Linked DNA regions of Drosophila melanogaster. Changing the gene in region 2 together with the main gene of any one other region gives a genetic interaction. Each region holds a gene or a part of one and is shown on either strand. Other genes may lie near its edges. The genes, in order: spz5, CaMKII, kek6 and Oamb.

The links.
Region 1: of CaMKII (region 2) and spz5, changing one suppresses a phenotype caused by changing the other (phenotypic suppression), as found in Drosophila melanogaster (one study listed by BioGRID).
Region 3: of CaMKII (region 2) and kek6, changing one suppresses a phenotype caused by changing the other (phenotypic suppression), as found in Drosophila melanogaster (one study listed by BioGRID).
Region 4: of CaMKII (region 2) and Oamb, changing one suppresses a phenotype caused by changing the other (phenotypic suppression), as found in Drosophila melanogaster (one study listed by BioGRID).

Annotation. Positions count from the first base shown.
Region 1 is NT_037436.4:2,889,146-2,893,791, forward strand, and holds the start of spz5 (spatzle 5), read right to left. Parts: upstream 3,022-4,646; 5' UTR 2,722-3,021; intron 101-2,721; 5' UTR 19-100; coding exon 1-18. UniProt on the Drosophila melanogaster protein: Neurotrophin which may function as a ligand for the Toll-related receptors Toll-6 and Toll-7. Binds to Toll-7 and Toll-6, and probably acts as their ligands in the promotion of motor axon targeting and neuronal survival in the central nervous system (CNS).
Region 2 is NC_004353.4:1,048,374-1,053,253, forward strand, and holds the start of CaMKII (Calcium/calmodulin-dependent protein kinase II), read right to left. Parts: upstream 3,006-4,880; 5' UTR 2,970-3,005; exon of another isoform or gene 2,321-2,969; intron 2,237-2,320; 5' UTR 2,147-2,236; coding exon 2,082-2,146; intron 2,020-2,081; coding exon 1,925-2,019; intron 874-1,924; coding exon 814-873; intron 186-813; coding exon 131-185; intron 1-130. UniProt on the Drosophila melanogaster protein: A key regulator of plasticity in synaptic physiology and behavior, alterations in its activity produce pleiotrophic effects that involve synaptic transmission and development as well as various aspects of behavior. Directly modulates eag potassium channels.
Region 3 is NT_033777.3:31,620,133-31,625,165, reverse strand, and holds the start of kek6 (kekkon 6), read right to left. Parts: upstream 3,031-5,033; 5' UTR 2,344-3,030; intron 1-2,343. Other genes in the region: pasha (partner of drosha), read right to left, coding at 4,049-4,336, 4,396-4,650, 4,707-5,033.
Region 4 is NT_033777.3:20,711,524-20,716,216, reverse strand, and holds the start of Oamb (octopamine receptor in mushroom bodies), read left to right. Parts: upstream 1-1,639; 5' UTR 1,640-1,737; intron 1,738-2,466; 5' UTR 2,467-2,898; intron 2,899-4,693. UniProt on the Drosophila melanogaster protein: Receptor for octopamine (OA) which is a neurotransmitter, neurohormone and neuromodulator in invertebrates. Stimulates intracellular accumulation of cAMP and Ca(2+) following ligand binding. Required for ovulation.

The DNA.
Region 1 (4,646 bases), on a different chromosome or scaffold from region 2:
TTTAATACTTTTTGTCATTGTCAATTCATTCGCCGTCGATTTGCATTTGCATTTGACTCGATTGCGATTCAGCCAGTGTCTTCAACGTGAATTCGGAAACCTGAAGCGAAAGAGAAACTGCCATGAGTTATTTGGTCAAATATTAGTCGCAAAAAAATGGCAAATACACGACCATTTCTCGCACCATTTCCATTGGGACACGAAACAGACAATAAGTGATGGTTTTTCCGCAGCGGAAATGCTTCAAAGTGCTTATTTGTTGCCCACAGTTCACTTGGGCTTATTGTTAAGTTAAACAATCAACAACTAAAACAATAACACAAACACGAACTACACCACCGACAGCCTCTTGAGCAAACAACAGCCAAACAACTCGAACAACTCCCGTAAATAGCGAAAATAAATTGCCAAAAGTGAAAGTGACGAACAAGCTCCAGACAACAAGATTAAGTATACGCAGATTAAGTATACGCCGCGAAGATAATGGACTGGACACGCCCCATGCATTGTGGGGGCGTTCTCAATTGGCGACCCGAGCTGTCAGCTAATGACAATACTTATAAACTCTAATGATTTATTAGGACTCTAAAACGGAATTTCAATATGCCGGTATTTAAATCGGATGTTTTATAGACAATTTAAGTTTAGATCAATGCAAGATATTTTGCATATTTAAAGTGATATATTACCAACTGTTGGAGAGAATATATATATAATAATACAAGCAGTTTTTATTGCGGAAACTATGAGATAACTTTGACTAGATTTCGATAGTTAGCAATGCTTTTATATGAACAAGAAGCTCAAAGAAAAATTCCCAACATGTTTCCCGTATGAAATCAACTTTTAAAATCTGGGAAAATTAAAAATCCCGTAATTAAATGTTAATTAACAGCTGACATAACTAACGAAAGTGAGCTAAAAATTAACAAAAAATGTTATACAAATATTTTAATTATTATAATGTAACAATGCTAACAAGTGATCAAATCTAAAGCTGTCACAGTCAATGGTAAAAACCGGATTTCGTGTCAAGTTTTGCTATAGTTTCAATATAATGTGTACCACAATTATTTATAGAACAAAAAGCAATAACAATTGCCTTTAACACTCAGACATGGGGTGCCTGTAAAAACAGCGAGCATTCAAGAATCAATTGGAATTTATACCGATACAAAAACACCTGCCACAAGCTGCGATAGGATTTCCGGGATCACAGGCTCTTTTGCACGAGCCAAGCAAAACAAATCAGTCAACAAACAAGAGCCAATGACAAAGTGTCCGTCAAGGTACACAGGAAATAATTATATTAATAATATTAAAAATGAAAAAATAAAGAAAACAATTATAATAAATGAACATTCACGGCATATTAAAGTATCAAACAGAAGTTTGAAACACAAAATGTTGTTTAGTAGTTGAGCTGGGCTTTAAATGCTTATACAATTTTATATATACATATAATAACACATATTTCTCTGAGATTAAAATAGCTTAGGTATTTTGAAACCACGTTTCCAACCATGTTTTCTGCTGTGCATCGAAGCCAGATTTAGTGTCTGCGATCTGCTAATGGAGTCTTGCACATGGCTACACCCACGTATTGCTGGTATTTCCCCGATGCCAAAGTTGCGCCAGGCGATCACCTCATAAATCACAGAGCAGCCAAAAGAAGTTGGACATGGGTTTTGGCATTGTTTCCCTTGGCAACTTTAGTGGCAGCGTGTTTTATGGTGTGTTTTGGGCCATTTGCACATCATTAGGCCGACGGGCCAAAAGTTAATGAAATTGTTAAAGATCTTTGACCAAGCTTTAGCGGCTAATCCATTGGCTGCGGCATCATTTTCGAAATTGAGTGCTCAAAATCGCTGGGCCCCATTCAATTTATTTGAATGATTTGGCCGCAAAATCATCTATCTATATTTAATTAATTATATCCCGCCTGAGTAATGATCGATTGTCAGATCTTTATCTTTGTCTCGCCCAGACATTCTCACTTATTCACCCGATTGGCACTTTTTTAAGGGGATAAAATATTTTGTTGGCATCTAATTGAAGCATTAGCAGGCTAAAAAAAAGAGCTGAATGAAACGAAATGCTGCTAATTAATTATAAAGCTATTTAATAATAATGATTGCTTATTAAGTTTTTATTACGCGAGTGTTTGACACAGGAAAGTTTTAAGCTCTCTAGTTTATTTAATTGGTAAACTTGTATACTTTCCACAATATCTATCCTTACTTCTATCCATTAAATAAACTATCAAAGAGACAGACTTCTGCTTCGGGCATTTTTTCCAAAGCCTCTGAATTATTTTCCTTCACAAAGAGGTTGGGTTATTTGAAGCTAATTTAGGGACTAAAACAATGGATTCGATTGGAGGCAGACAAATAGCTGAGCTTCATTATAATTTTTTAAACATATATTTTATGCCTGCATTTAGCTAAGAAATTAAGCACGACTTTTCAAGGTTTTTTCTCCCCACTTGATTATATTTTGTTTGTATTTACCCAAAGTGTTGTCTGCATTTTTTGTGGATTTTGTTTTGTGATCGCTTTGATTTAATTTGTGTTTGCTGGTTTCCTAACATTTTGGTTACAAGTGTATACAAAAAGAAGGAAAACAATCAAGCGTTATAATAAATCAGAGCTGCGATGACGAACCAATGAAATTTATTAACTTATGGCGGGAATTAAAGTATTCAATTTAATAATTACTCACCTAGTGTGCGGCTTGTAGATTTGTTTGGGTTTTTGCTTCACAGTATTTGGCAAATGTTTTTGATCACTATGTGCACTTTTGTCGAGCTTAGCTATGCTCTTTGTATTTCAGTGAAATATTTTCTCTTTTTTTGCCACCGAACACTCACTTGAAAATTCTACTAATTAAAAAACTTAACACGTACCGAAGAGCGCGGATATTTCGGTTTTTGGACTTTAGGTTTTCGATTTCGATTTCGTTTTCGTCTTTTCCGTTTCACGCGTTTGCCAATGCTCACGGCGGCAGCTCGTAGCCAACTGAGCGGTCTTAGCCAAGTTAACAGCGGCCCAGAGCCGCAAACTCGGGAAAAGAGGCAGAGAAAAGCAGAGCTTGGGTCAGAGCAGAGCTATATAGCAAAAGATATAGCCGGCTCTGATCTCCCAGGCTAATCTCTCAATTTAGCCCGCTCAACTTTGAACTTTTTGGCCCGTGATTCATGTCGTTGGCCACATAGTATAATGTGATATGTGGTGCGGTTTTCTTTTTCTTTTTTGGCCCGATTCAAGACCGGAAGTCCAGTGGTTCGGGCCATTCGATATGACGTGGGCCTTATTTATTGACCACTTTTATTGTTTATTTTACATTGTCGCCAATATGCGAACTGCAATAAAGTGAATTTATTTAAATTGTTAATTTTTCTGCTCGCCAATTGTTGTTCGTCGTTGCCGCCGGTTTTGGCCCATAGATACGGCGCATTGTTCGGGCGATGAATTTGGATTTTTATGGCCAATGAAGGTCAGTTAACAGCTTTTATCTGTCGCAGATTTGTGACTGCTGCCGTTGATTTGATTTGGCGCTGCCTCCGGCACAGACATTGAATGTTGGCAAGAAAAGGCTTTTAATGGCCAAGACCACGCACAATTGTAGGAGTTACCTCCGATTTTGTCTCTCGTCGAAGGCATTTAAATCAATTTTGCGCGTTGCCAAAGCTGGAATTATGGGTAATATTTCAGCACAGGTATATTGGGAATTATTTTTTTTTTTTTCATTCCTAATAAATATTTACAATACTTTTTAACCAAGAAGAAAGCGCTGAGCAGTAATTTCTCTGTCAATTTATTTTAAAGTATTGAATATGCAATATGTGTGTACATAATTAGAAAAAAACAAATAAATTTAATTTTTAAAAAGGTTGAAAGAGATGTATACCGTAAAATAGTTTTAAACTATCAAAGGCCTAAATTATTTTTATGGTTCAAAGTATAAGCCAAATAGACCGAAATATATCTAGTAAGATTTTCAAGATTTTCAGAAAATGAAATGAATTATTTAAATTCGATAATTAGTGATAAAAATGAGTATGGTTACATGATTTACTCACTGGGTATCCAGTTAGTCCACTCTCCGCAAACTCGAACATTATTTATGTTTACAGCTGATTGCCAATAGCAAGAGATTTGCACTCTCAAATCTTCCGAGGCGGTTTTGGAATTTTATCCGTCGCCTTGGGTGCTTCATCGTTCAATTTTGGTTTCTTGGCTCCAATTTTGCACAACTTTCACAAAGACGAGACCTAGACAGAAAAGTACGGGAAAACCCTCGCCGAAATCACAATATGGGGCTCCAAGCTCTTATCGAAAATGGTTTTTAATGCGTTTTTAAGTCAAATTAGTGACTTCATCAGTCTGCCGGCCGAGCAGGCTCAGATTCGATTTGAGATTCACTTAAGCCGCTCATTAATCAAACTCCGAGCCCAAGGTATCGGGACCAAAGGTATCATTTTATACCTAAAACTATCGCGGCTACATATGTATATAACACGTGGAGGGGCCACTCCCCCAACTTCCCACCGCCGTTTTAAGGCTTAGCTGCAATTGCGAAAGGGTTAATTAGGGGCTGGGTCCACCAACTCAATGCCGCCGGTTGGCCAATGAAACCATTAAAGC
Region 2 (4,880 bases):
AATCTCAATAAACAATAGTCGAGTCATTGCCACATTTACAAGCATTTGTTAGAAACTCATATTTTTAAAACACTTTTGGGGATAGGCAATTTAAATATTTGGTAAGGAGTCTATGCAGGTTAATGCTTACAGGTCAAAAACAAGGTAGTGATAGTTCTCCTCCTGTATACTGTCATGTAGCCGCACTGAAATTGTACATATTAACAATTTATTAGTTGTATACATTTGTATTTAATGTTTTTTTTTTACGGATGACAATGATTATAAGCCTTAAAGGCTATAAAAATATATGTTTATAAAATACATTTTGAACATATTATATATTTTGTCGGTGACGCTGGAGGAAGTGATGTTTCTAGATTTGAACTGTCCGTGTAAATAACTGTTTTGTTAGGTTACGCTTTTAGTGAGAGGAAAGTCTATTGCATGAGTTCGGTTTTTGCTGTTCTGCAAGTTTTTATAATTATTATAATTATAAATTACTTGGAAGATTTGTTATTGGAGAGTAGGGAGGGCGAGGAATGGAATGTTGCTTGCAGATGCGGATTGATATATCTACTAAACTCTATTTTATTTTTTTCTTCGTTGTGTTACCGTGGACGTCAAACCATCCTTTATCAGGATCACATTGCAAGTCATCAACACTACTGGGGTCTAAGCCGTGATTGAATGTACATATAAAAATTATGTATAGTAGATGTTCAAAGTGATATTAGGCCATGTTCGTCTACTTTTATGTAGATCATACATCTTCAGAAAAACGTATCTTTAAAGAATAAGTAAGTAAATTATATTTATATACACGTTGCATACCTATGTTGGGATGGTGTAACTTTCTGCAGATCCTTGCTTCACGTTCCAGTTTTTGAAAGTCTAAAAGCAAAAAAAAAAAATATATATATATATATATTATAAGCATCTCTTATATGCATACATGCATGTGTACAAATATGTTAATAAGAGGTTTTTGGCGAGCAAGCAAATGGTTCTCTCTAAGCCCAAAATTTGTCCCAGCTGTCATGCTCAAACTTCTTAAAAGTTATTTAATATATTTTTTGTAAATTACACACTTTGCCAATACTGCTATTCCAAAATTATTTTGGCCACGTCTTGGCAGTAAAAATTTATTAATTACTAAATAGCACAACACCAAGAAATACAACTTAATTACTGTAGAACTATTTGATACTTGTGTGGCAAATAGATAGGGACGACGAAGATATTACACAAAAAGAATGGTCCCTTCCAAAAGCGTACTTAGCAAAAAGAAAGTACATTTTACAGGAAAACTTTTTGACAGTCAATGTTTACTACTGATTTCTTACGATATGCCATATCGCCGTTGAAAAAACGGCATCAGATACCAGTTACTCAGCTAGTGTGAATGGGAACGCGAAATTTCATCATTTTTCTAGGATAACGATAGATATTGGGGAATAAAATAAGAAAAAAGTTTAAAAATTGGTCCAAAGTGTGGACGTGACCGGTTGGCGGCTTTTAAGCAAATCGATAGAAGTTAAAGGGCGTTAGAATGGGCGTGGCAAACTTTTTTTTGAGCAAATCGATAGAAATTTACAAGACCAATACAAATGTGAAAAAATATCAACACATTTTTCAAAAGTGAGGGCGTGGCGCATGTGGCAACATGGGTCAACAAACTTGCGCTGCGTATTTGTTTCTAAAATCTGTATGCCTTCTAGCTTGTATAGTTTCTGAGATCTCGACGACCATACGGAGAGACGGACTCGGCTATTGATCCTGATCAAGAATATACATACTTTCCAAGGATCAAGGATCTAGTATACCCTTTTACTGTACTCGACGAATTACCTAAAAACAGCACTTAGTTTCCCTACATGCGTGTGCATAGCATAAATGCGTACATATGTGATTTATAACCTACATAGAACACAGAAAGCCTTACCTCTGGCAGTTAATTTTTTTGTATTGATAATTTTTGCAGCAAATTCAAAGCCAGTTGACTTTTGGACACATCTTTTCACAATTGAGAATGCTCCTCTGAAATGTTAATAGACGGGTTATTATAATAAATTTATTAACCTTGAGTTTGTTAAACTTACTTTCCCAACTCTTCTTTGATGTCGTAATTGTCCGAAAAACGCGTACAGGCTGCTGGTGCAGCCATCGCGATGGCACACTTAAGAAAATCTATTGCGACTAAAGATCTTCAACTGCTCTACAGATTTCACTTTTCAGGAGTTTTATTTCTTGTTTTCTAAACGATTTTTAAATATAAGATAATAAATCAGTTTTACAAAAATTATACAAAAAATTGCTTACAACGTACAAACATACATACATTGTTGTACCATTTAGGTACCATGGGCCTTCTCTAAATATTATTTTGTTATAAAGTAATCACTAGCTGGTTCAAAAGTTTCAGACAGCGTTGGTTCTATGGTATCCAAAGGGGTACTGCATGTATTTGAGAATCCCCCGGCCATCATAGTATAAACTTGCATTCTTCTCTGTATAAGATCGGGCATGAAGCTCGTAAAGTAAAGCTCGCCAATGTAATTCAGAAGTATTCAGAGCACAGATTAGGTAACTTATTTCATAGAAACACATATCGGTAAAATTAAAAGAATGTCTCGCTATTCCAATTTTAAAATTCTATATTACTCAGTGGAGTCGATGCAAAACAGACCAGCAATCTACATATAGTTCTTCAAATTTTAAATGGTTTGTAATAATATAAGGGTTATGTTATTTTAAACAGCCGCAGGTTTCTTATTGAGTTGGTAATTCAAGTGAGTTCTCTTAAAGCACGTTGCTTAAACTAGAAAACTCGACCTCCATTTTGAAGATTTTGGTGGTTGAAGTTTTTTCATGTGATCATGAAATCATACGAAAAAACACCATACTTCGCAAGAAACAACATGTGCGGGGGCACAAATTGAAAAATGTCTGAAAATGTATTATCCTATCTCAAACGTTGAATCTGATACCTTGTTGTTGCCTAGAGATGACATGACATTCGATAGACGAAAAATGTAATAAACTCGATTATTAAACATAGGGGTCAACTCCTTACCAAAGCTACACTTAACTGTTCCCCATGCACATCAAAATAGCAAAGGTATCTACATATGTAAAACCATAACTCCGCGGTTAGTGCAGTGTAAACGGGCCTTACATCGATATGCATATCAACCACTCAGTGGCGTTTTCAATATCAAATTAAACTATGGCCCTGAAAAAATACGAATCCATTGCAGAATTAAAACAAGAGAAAACGCTATAGTAAAGCTTTTCGACTATCAGATAATTGTTACTCAGCTAGTGGAAGTATGAACGAGAATATTAAACATTTTTCTGGCGTACCGATTAAAATTGGCAAAACAATTTCAACAATTTTTTGAAAAAAAATAAACGAAAACTTAAAAAGGGCATGGCACAATCTTAACTTTCTAGCTTTTATAGTTCCTGAGATCGTGGAGTTCATACAGATAGACGGACATGAAAATTCGACTCGGCTATTGATCCTGGTGAAGACTATATATAGTTTAAACGCTCGGAAACGCGTCGTTCTGCAAGTTACATACTTTTCAACGAAGCTAGTGTGATAGCCAGCTGATCAAGAGCAGCAACAATCATTACTATTAACCTATATTACGTATTGAGTAAAGGAATAAAAAATGGAAATTATTTTTTCGTTTTACTTTCCAGTTATTATAGTTTCAGCGGTAACAGCGTTGATACGGACGACAGGCATGGGATAAAGCATGCAAATTTGTTTTCTTGAGAACCAGACATTTAATCCGCCTAAAACTGTAACTCCAATTTTTTTGAAAAATAATTTGCTTCTTTCAGTCTTGAAATCTTTTATTTCGATTTTGCCCACACATTTACAAAGTGTTTTGTTTTTTTGTTTCATTATTTTTATTTATTCTTTTATTTTGCACATTTCTGTCGGGTTGTTAAATAGTCGATGAACTACTGTCACGTTCTCTCTTGTTTTATACCTCTCCGTGAGGTTTGTTTTTTGCCATATCCGGTAACAGCGGTACTGTTAGTTTTTAGTTTGTTGTACGTGTTTTTTTAAAACTAGACCCAATCACCATGAAAAAGAAGTGTTTCCCTGGAAAAGGTATATGTAGACCCTTAATTGCACCCTCGCAATTTTGAAATAACATACTTATAATATAATATTGTCAAGTCAAATGTTACGAAAAGTTTAAAATTTGTGATCAAAACTTTATTATCTTTGTTTTAAACCAGATATATTTAACTCTCATTGACATATTTCAATCAATTAAAAAAAGCGACAGGTGTTTTTGGTTAATTTCTTAAAAAAGAAAATCCTGATTATGAGAATGTATCTGGGAAGCAGTTATATATATACGTACATATATATGTAGGTATGTATCCTTTGCAGGTTACATGCGTTGAAGCTTTTTTTGATGAGCTTAATGGTAAAACGCCCCACCCCTTTTAGCAAGGATATTTCAGGGTCTTGGAAATTACTTGTTGCAAATTATACTTTTTCATTAAATCATATAAACACGCGCTATGTACGCGAATTAAATATACTATTTGGATGAGACCTTCAGAAATGTTTTACTAAACCCATTTTTCGGACTAGGAGGGACGATATATAGAATGTGAAACACTTTTTTAAAATTAAAAAAAAAGCATTTATCATAACTCGTAAGTATTTAGGTATGTTTTAAACTTTCTTGTAGATATCAAGAGTAATTTGTAAGATGTATGTATATTGTGCAATAACAATTACAAAATTTTTAAGTGTCATATATTTATATTTACTGCGTAACTGAACAAAGGCACAAAATGGGGTACATACTGATGTTGTATAAATGTCCTTTTAAGATATAAGTGAAGCGTGTGAATATATATAT
Region 3 (5,033 bases), on a different chromosome or scaffold from region 2:
TTACGGTTTTCGCCTGAAATCGATTCCCCAATCATAACTACAAGTGGCTATAATCACCTCGTCCGGCGGACAACGATTTTAACAATTGCCCAACCACTCGGACTTAAACCCATCGGTTGTTGGTTGCCGGTGGTCGGTGGTCGGTGGTCGGTTGAATGGCCAACGGCACCCGTGGTCCTGGCCATTAACTATGCAAATAATGTGCGGGATATAGACAAAATCGCCACAAGATTAATGCTTATTGATTTTCCCGGCCAGCGATAATTTGTTAGCACGCCAAATTGGCCGACAGTCGAGCGCCACTGAGTGAATGCGATTTTTCTGGCTTACTTTTCTATTTTGGGCAAAGCCATTCGAAGAATTTGATAAGCCCCTCTTGGAATTTTTCAGGACCCCAACCCCCAAAAAGTTTTTGTGGGTATTTGCATTATTAAGTACTCGCACCGCTCCCCCGATTTTCCGATTTCTTGGTGGTCGCTCGCTTTGTGGGAAATGCGAAATGGAAGATGGAGGATGGAAAATGGGTGACGACGGGTCGGTCATCCATTGAGCCGAAGGTGTCACATTGCCGGGATTTGCTTATCAGACATCAAAGGACACCTTGCGGTGCCATCGTTCCCAGATCGTTGCCATTGCAACCCGCAAACGAGAATTTGGCATGCGGAGGAGGAGGGGCAGGACTCACTGCCAAGTTTACGCATCCCTTGAAATTTTGGCTCCAGCCGAGGGAACTTACTTTCAGGTTTGTATAAATATTTTCGCTGGCTTGTTTGTCTGGTTTCGTCTGTTTAGCATTTCGGAATATTAATTAAAACAAACTTTCGGGGAATGTGAGCATTATTAAAAGGAAAGCTTACGTGAGCTGCCTTCTTCGGACTTTTTAGCCACTTCGAATCAGTTTTTGTATTTGTAAAAATGGTGCACATGAAAAACATTGAAATCTGTTTTGTTATGGAAAAATCTGGCTAAGTAAAAAAGAGCTTTGGCCACAAAGCCACAAAATGGCAAAGCAAGATTTAAATGCCTTCAAGTTGAAAGCATTTTGGGAAGGCAATTAAGGGCAAATCCTTGCAGATAAACGTATTTGCCATTTGTCTCAGCTAGAACTTAAACGAGTATTACTTTCAACTCAGTTAACAGACACATCAATTGGAATTAGGAAAACATAAAGCAAGGGTCTCTATAATCGATTTTTGGCACAGTTACTAGGTGTAAATGGGGAAGAAACTTTTACTCGAACCCAACATTCTTGCATCCAATGGATGTTGTCAACCCGAATTGAACGAAACTTAGAGAAATTTTGTTTTTTTATATTGAAGAAGGAGGCGAACCCATCGGAAGCCCGGAAAAGAAAATGTATTAGAAAGGGTCTATAATTCGTCTGTTTCCTCAAGAAGTCCTTGAAAGGAATCCCCAAAATGGAAGCCTGCGGTCCTGGGCAGCATTACCTGGATTTACTTAGCACAACTTCAAAGGAAGGACACTTTCTCCCGCGGGAAGTGGCGCTCCCCCAATTCGTCCTCACTCCGCCCGACTTCTTATTTACTCTTCATCTCTTTATTTCACCGAAATTAGCTGGAAGTGAAAACGAAACCGAAACAGCAAAAGAAATAGAAACTAAACGAATATCGAGCGGCAACAAAGCCATCGCCAAACGCAAAGCAGAACAGACCCCATCCCATCCCATCCAATCCCGAAAACCCGGCCAGACCGAAGTCAACCTACTTTTGGACGCAACAGACTACGCCAGAGCCGAGCGAGTATCCTATATGTGCCATGTAAGTGCACAAGGAGAAAAAGCTGGCAGCTTCGCTCTGTGGATTACTCTGCCAATATTTACTCAACCCTTCCTGTTGTTTTGCGGCGCCATAAAATTCCCAAATATTGCAATTCAATTAACACACGCCTACAGATACATATGTATATGCCATTATACGATAATGTAAGATAAATAATACCGCCTCTCCTTGTGAAAAAGGATGTGGATTTGGGGTTTGAAGAGCCGATACCCCATTTCCATTTGAGCCGTAGGGATTTATTTGGGAACACGTTGGATGGAAATTCACAAAATTGCACAAACTCCAAGACAATGACCGTAAAGCACAATTCCACCATCAATTTTTCAGTCCAAAATAAAGTAGTATCCACTTTTTTCTGCCCGTGCACGAGTTCATTCGGTATGCGCCCAGATGGCAAGCGTGGAGTGGGTTTTTCGGGCAGACGGGCAGGCGGACGGCGAGGAGGACGTGTGGCACGAGGGGGACAAACGGGCGCCCTGCGGCGGATTATTGAATTTTCCAGCATTCTCCGCTGACACTTGGCGCCTAATGCGCTACCGCTTACCTTCGCCTACTGCTGTTGCTCCAGTCCTTGTTGCTGCTACTGGCTTGCTCCTGCGTCCTGCGTCCTGCGTCCTCCGCCTTCTGCTGCTCCGGCGGCTGCTGCTTACCGATTCACTGGCTCTGACGGAAATTCCAATGGAATTTGGCATAATTTACATATCTCCGAGTGCTTGGGCCAAGCGGGCCAAATGCATTGGACACGGTGTACAGGAGTGCGTGTGTGTACCCGATTTTCCGTTTATTTTCCGAGTGCTCCGTCTTTCACCGAATATCCGCACTTTTTTCCCAGGCCCGATTTCTGGGCCGCTGGGCGAAAAATCAAAAACGGCGCGCGTGTCGTACCGCTTGCTACATCCACTGATTTGACGCGCGACCCACGCACTTGCAACACGCGACACACGAGCACCGGGAATCGAACGTCGAGAGTCGAGAATCGAGGAACTGGGGGGCTATGAAGTTGGTTTTTTTGGGGGCACCGAGGGATGAGGGGGCAACTAAGATGAATGTCAATAAAAATGATTCTGCTCTGCACTGCAGTTGGCCTTTTTTCAGCTGTACCACCGAATTCACCTCTTGGCTTTCTGTTTTTCTCCCCGTTTTTTTTTTCGGTCTGTCCCGAGTTACTGTGATTCAATTACAAATCCCAGACGAAAGTCCTGAGGATAGGAGCGCCGGGAAGTGGTTTTCTCGCCACGCGAAGAATCCGTACTGAAGATACAGATATGGCCTGCGAATTGGCAAGTCAGAACTCGCCACAATTCATCTCGCAGCATGGCTGCTGCGCAAAATCCGGGATCTGCGCCTGCGCCGCTCTCCCGCGCTCTCTCTCTCGGACTTTCTCTCTGCGACTGTCTCTCCGCATTCTCCGTGGTGGGTATGTGTGTGTGCCACGCTCGTTGGAATGCTATAAAAAAGGAAACGTTAGAATGAAATGAAAATGTAGCATAATTTATGACTGCATCGTCTTTTAAATAATTGCACGCACACACACCTACGAACCTACACCCTGCCCACCGCCTTAAATATTAACATCCACTCACCTAACGACCGACCGCCTAAAAACACCCGAGAATCCTAATGGCCATGTAAATATGCATTTTTTTATATTCCATACGACTTTTTAAAATGTCTTCCAAATTGGTTACGGGTCAATGGTGTTTGAACGTTCCAAGAATGAAAGCGATACGAGAAGATTTACGAGGAAATTTGATAAACAAATCATGAGCAAATAATTGTCCTGCTGTCTGCCCAAATGAATAGTTGTCAAATACTTAAGAACTCTACTTTTTTAATTGGTATTGCAGATAAAGATCTTAGACGAACATCTCTATACTCAAATATAAAGGACTGCGTTTTTAATAGTATTTTATTCAAGCTTATATTATACAAGTGAAATTGAACCCCTAATCTTAGCTATTGCAAGCATGAACTACTTATATTTGGCAAATTTAGTGATGAATTTACCTTAATGTAAAACCACTTGATAGGCAATTGTTCTTCATTTTTGGCCACTTGCTAAAGCCACTTCAGATTAACCAGCTCAGATAGATGAAGCCGATTTGAAATCAGTTCGTATGCCTCTAGAGAACGCGTCGTTGTTGTCATTAGCTTTTCGAATATGGAAATGGGTGGGTAACTAAGAGACTAGGAGGTTGTCATGCACTACTAGAGAATCAATGTTGGCGAGAGAGATGTGTGTTTCCCAATCAAAGTTCCACGTTGTTCAAATTGGACCCGGAGGAAGTGGGCAGATCGACGTCGCTTGGCGGCACAAAAGTGCCCATGGTTAGGACGCTCTCCTGCTTGGCACACAGTTTCAACATCTCGGATTTAAGTTTGTCCAGTATGGCGTAGTTGGGTTGGTTGACTGCCGCCTTGCTCTGCAGCACGGTGATCTCCTGCTCCTCCAGCTTCTTCTCCTTGAAGGTCTTTATGGAGTTGTTGCCGTAGAGGCGCAACAAGGAACCCCAGGTCTGGATGTGCGGATGCAAAATCTGACGAAAGGTTAACTCAATAGCTATAAGTAAAGTTATAAAGAAATATCAATGCTCACCTGGAGGATTGCTTGCGAAGCCAACTGCTTGCCCTCCCGCTTGTTTTTACACACCACTTTGGCAGTATGTTTGCCCACGGTCATGGTAAACTCGTTCTTGTTATTCGCGGTGCGGTTGATCTCCTGGCTGATCTGAACATCGCTGCCGTAGTTGCGCTGCAAGCAAGTCAGCAGAATGGCGTTGGGAGATGGCTCCGTCGTCTTGTTGCAGAATTCGGTGACTCGGGGATCTTCGATGCGGATGTCATCGAAAACCTGCAAGAAATATAAAAATAAGAAGTGGTTCCATTTTCTATAGGTAGATTGCTTACAGACAGATCGCTCTGCGCTTTCTTCGCAGTGCCGCTCTTTTGGTCCTTATTGTTGCCCGTTATCTTGTCCTTGACATCGGGAATGAGTATTTCCAGCGTTTCCCGAGCCGCCTCTGACTTGGCCTGCTTTTTACTGGTGCCATAGCCCGTGCCATACTTGAGATTGTTCACCGATACGGTGGCGGAGTAAGGCGTGGCTGCGTTTTGGAGCTCCTTGAACTCATAGGTGGGCTGCGTTTTCAGAGCATGCTGCACGTACTCGTGCAGGATGCAGACGAAGCTCTTGCCATTGGGATTCATGATCCACTCCTTCCGACCGCGCGGGTT
Region 4 (4,693 bases), on a different chromosome or scaffold from region 2:
TCCAGGATAACCGAGCGAGCGAAGCGAACGAAAGACAACAAACGAATATTTATTACAGGTGTTTGCCTTTGACTGACAGAAGGCGCAATCTGACGCCGGAGCTTAGTTTCGGGCACTTCCCAGTGAGGAACTCTGAAAGCTGCGGGATACCCGGGCTTCCAGCTTTCACATAGGGCCACGTCAGCCCATTCCTTTGTTCGATTCTGCCTGCAAATTGATTTCGCATCTTTTATCTGGCCAGACGATGGAAATTTTGCAAATCCGATTTGGTTGAAGAATGAAATGCGTTGCAGACCCAACCGGAATTCCTGAAAAATCCCGAGCCAAATGCAGGATCCTGAAGGGCTAAAAATAACAACAGATTCTGCCGCAGAAATCATTGTGTTTTCTCTATCTATTCATGGTTTAAATTTTAGTCATGGAGGTAAGAAAGTGGAATCTCCGCGAGAACAGAAAAAGCAGAAAATAACGAGGTCCTGTGAATTCATCTGTTCATCTAGTTATGCAAATCCAAGTTAAACGTGCTGCAAGGCATCTGTGTTTCTCGCCAAGTGAGATTTGCAGACCGCCAGGAAATGGAAGCAGGATATAGATACAGTAGTTGTAGCAGAAAGACAGCGAAAGGATATAATTACTATGATGGCGGTCATATTGATCACGAGTCCCAAGGACTAATGAGCAGTTGGGAAAGGAAACTAGGCGGCTGTTCAGTGCTCGTGATGTGTAATTAATTTTTGGGCAACATCTGTTTATCCTAATTAGAGACGATACAAACACACACATGCCAGTGGAGGTTGGCAGGAGTTTTGGGGATGAGCCCGAGGCGTTCTCTTTTCATTTATCATTATTACTGGGCTAGACTAAACGGGGCCAAAAGGTCAGTAAGATAAAAGTTGGAATGTGAGTCGATTAAACGGTCAGAAATCAAGTGAATAATGACCGCAACAGCTCTTTCATGGCAAGTGCCCGCCACTTACTCAGCTTTCAAGATTTCAATGGAGCTTCATAATGAGTTTTGAATAGAGTATTGGTCATGGCGGGATTGTAAGCCAAATACTTGGCGAAAAATCGTAAAAAAAAAATACAAAAAATACCTCGCAGCTCTAATGGAAAATTGGGCAAATTGAAGTCGACCAACTTTGTCGTAAAATGAAATTGCTAGAAATATCAGCGGATGGTACAATCAGAATAAGGCTGAGCGGATGCCCATCAAAAAAGGGGCAAGTGTGTGTCCTTTTTTTCTAGCAGTCCAGCCATCCTTTTGACTGCTCCGAATTTACCAATTTATTATGCGTGGCTTCTTTTATTTGCCATGGCCAACTGGCTGTTTGTCTGGCCGAAAGGTTAACAAGCCAGAAAGCGTCGCAAATCAAAGGGAATTTCAAACTGGCTGCAGGCGAATGCAGATTAGGAGAATCAAGGGATTATAATTAATCAGACGTCTTGGCTCTTACAGCAAATATCGCATGCGATTTTATTTCCAAGCGACTGTTGCGCGCTGTTCAACAAATTCTGCTTTTCTACCGAGCGCTGTTTCTCTTCCTGCTGTTTCAAGTTTTAATGTTCCAATCTCCAACGTTTCCATCTTTCCATTCGTTCCGGAACGAACAATTTCGAACGCACAGTTCGCGCTGAAAATTCAGTTCGTGTTGAAAATTCTGCCGCGTCGGTCGTGCCAATTCGAACGAGCGGAGAAAACTGGCCAGAACTAACGGTTCTTGCCGACGGCACATAACGGTAGCTAACAGTGTTGCGTGGGTGTTAGTGTAAGGGTGCGCTGTGTGGGTGTGTGCCCTTGTGCGTGTGTGTGAGTTGCCGAAGCGCCGAGTGCGAGTCCGAGTGCTCGTGATCGCGAACAACAGCTGTTTTGCACCATTTTGCGAACTCAGTTCCTGTTGAGTCCTCGATCGAAGCAAAAGGATGTTAGCCATATATTGAAGTTATAATTACAGCTGATTGATAACCAAAACTAAAGCTCGAGGCAGCTACGTGCCTTTTGGCCAAAAAACCGAAATATTAAAATTCGCAATAAGCGCGACGAGCGAGTGAGTGCATTCATAATGAATTCGCGAGTGTGAGACGAGTGTGAATGTGTCTTATGTGATTTAATGGGGTTTTCTTCAGCGCCGTGCTAGTTTCGCCTAATCAAATCGCTCGCTTTCGTTCCATTTCGTAATTTCGCTCATTAGCAAACAATTTTCCTTGCTGTCGCCGAAACAAACATAGCATTGACAAAGTGCAATTTTCATAATTGTCCCGCTGTGACATTAGCATATATGCAAAAATAAATATTTCTGTTTATAGATGATGTCAGTCAGCAGATCAGAACTGCATTTCCTTCGCCTTTGTGTCTGCTCTGCTTGAGTAATGACAGCAAATAATTGGTTTGCCATAAATTGCCAGTGCAATGTTGCCGTTGCCAATCCATGCAATTAACAAATAAAACATATTTCAATCAAATTCTAGCGCAAACAAACTATTAATTTCACAAAACCCGGCCTAGTCACGCCCAATCGAAAAGATCAACAAACCACCAAGCACTGAAAACTAAACACTTAAAACTTAAGCACTGCAAAACTGAGTAGTGAATATCGAAAACCAAATGCTGAGTATGGAGATTTTAGGCAAAATGCGTGCAATTATTCAACGCATGACAACCAATTAATTGGCCAAAGAGAGCGAGAGCACACGAGACCCGGGGCAACAAGTCGATATAGCAATAGCTTTTGAAAATATATAGCTATCTGGTGAGCCGGTTAACGCCAGCAAGTGCATCGGAAAACCAGCAACAAACAAAAACTTGACCGATTTTCCAAGCGATTCGGTGACGGGCTCTCGCTAATCTCGCCCAGAAAACTCAGATCACAACCGCCATCGACATCGCGATGATTTATGCAGGTGAGTCTGCTCGAGTTTATGACACTTTTCGAAGTTCAACTAATTGTAGATATTGTAAGTTTGAATATTTAATTCAAATCTCTGAAAATCATTTATTTCAACTACAATATTTGAGGCAATACAAAATTATATTTTAAAACCATTTGGTAATAAAACTATCATTAACCTGTTCAAATATATATTCAGTCATAGACTTTTTACTATACCAGTAGCTTCTCCTATTTTATAAAATAATACTTACTTAGTAGTGGACAAAAAAACTCTATTAATAGATTAGAAGCTTTAAGGCGTTAAAATTGATTTATTATAACAGCGCAACTCATTATATTAATGCATTTCTTATGCTTGCATATGTTCATTTTGTTTGCTGATCAGGGGATCTACAAGTTGTATTCGAGATATTTGCACCCAAATAATGAATCGGTACCAGCAGAAACCCCAAAGCAATGTTTGGGCAATGAGAATGGGTATTAGTGCCAAACAGTACTGGCCATAAATCCATAGTCTCAGTTAATTACAAACCCATATCAACATCTCCGAAGGCGACGACGCAATTAGTTTGGGGGGAAAAGGCGCGCGGCATACAAATTACGAAGCAAAACGAAAAAATTCGTCAAGTGTTTTGTGCATTTTTGCGGTTTTATTTTATTTCGCTTTTTTATTTTGTTTTTATTTTTATTTTTTTTTTTGCACAGGGCTTAGCACGTGGCTGTTGACCGCCTTTGGTTACAGATTTTGTTTATTCACTTTCGGTAGCCTAATTAACTAAATTGGCTGGCTTGTTGACAATGGAAACCAAAGTGCGACCCATCTACCACTCGGCAAGAGTTCCTTCGCCCATCTTCCGAGTTTTCCCCCACCAAGTGTGAAGCTTAGCAGACACAAAGGCCAGTTGACAGGTGAAATGGGGGCAAACAATGGAAGTTGTTTTGACAGGGTCACAATGGACAGCCCGGCCCAATAACACGGACAGACTGGCCGACGGAAGGATGGGTTGCCAGCCGAACGGCTGGGAAATGTAGTAATAAATTAGGTTTTCAAATGGATCCCCATTTATTTCAACTTTAAGTGTGAAATTCCAGTCAGCCCGACTTTTATTTAATGCCACTCAGACATCCCTATATGCGGCTAAAGTCACGACTCGGAGGCATTAATTAGCCAGCTTTCCCAAACCCGTCGCTTTAACTGATAGTAAGCCTAAGTATAAGCGTTTTGAAATAAAGATACTTTAAAATACAACATTTTTATTGTTGTATGCATTTCATCGTGAGTCTCTCATTACTTTATAGAGCTACGTCCTTTTGAGCAGATAAAACGCATTAGCTCACCATCTTGTTCCATTTTACTATCAGAGTACACTTAAAACAAATTCTTGGGCCATGTTGCAGATAAATAGAAAAGTACGTTGCATTAAAGCAGTATATTTTATGTCTAAAATAAATTATTAATTAAGTAAAACGAAAATATTATTTTATAATGGAATTTCTCATAAAAGTATTATTATTAAAAGCTCCATTGATAACTAAAAAATCATTTATTCATTTGTTTCGAAAAATGGTACGCTAAAAACTCTATGGACATTCCCATTTTGACCATGGTATTGAAAGCACTTCTAAAACAGTGCCCGTGTGTCCAGCTATGGAAATCTTCACGCCTGGCCAAGCACAGGGAGCTGGAAACAGGAAGCAGTGCGAACTGGGAACTGGGAAATTTGAAGTGAGAGCTCTGCCCCAAGTGGCAGCCGAGCTGGACGTAAACATAATTCTGTGCTTTGTGCAGCGCTCTGTAAAGGCAT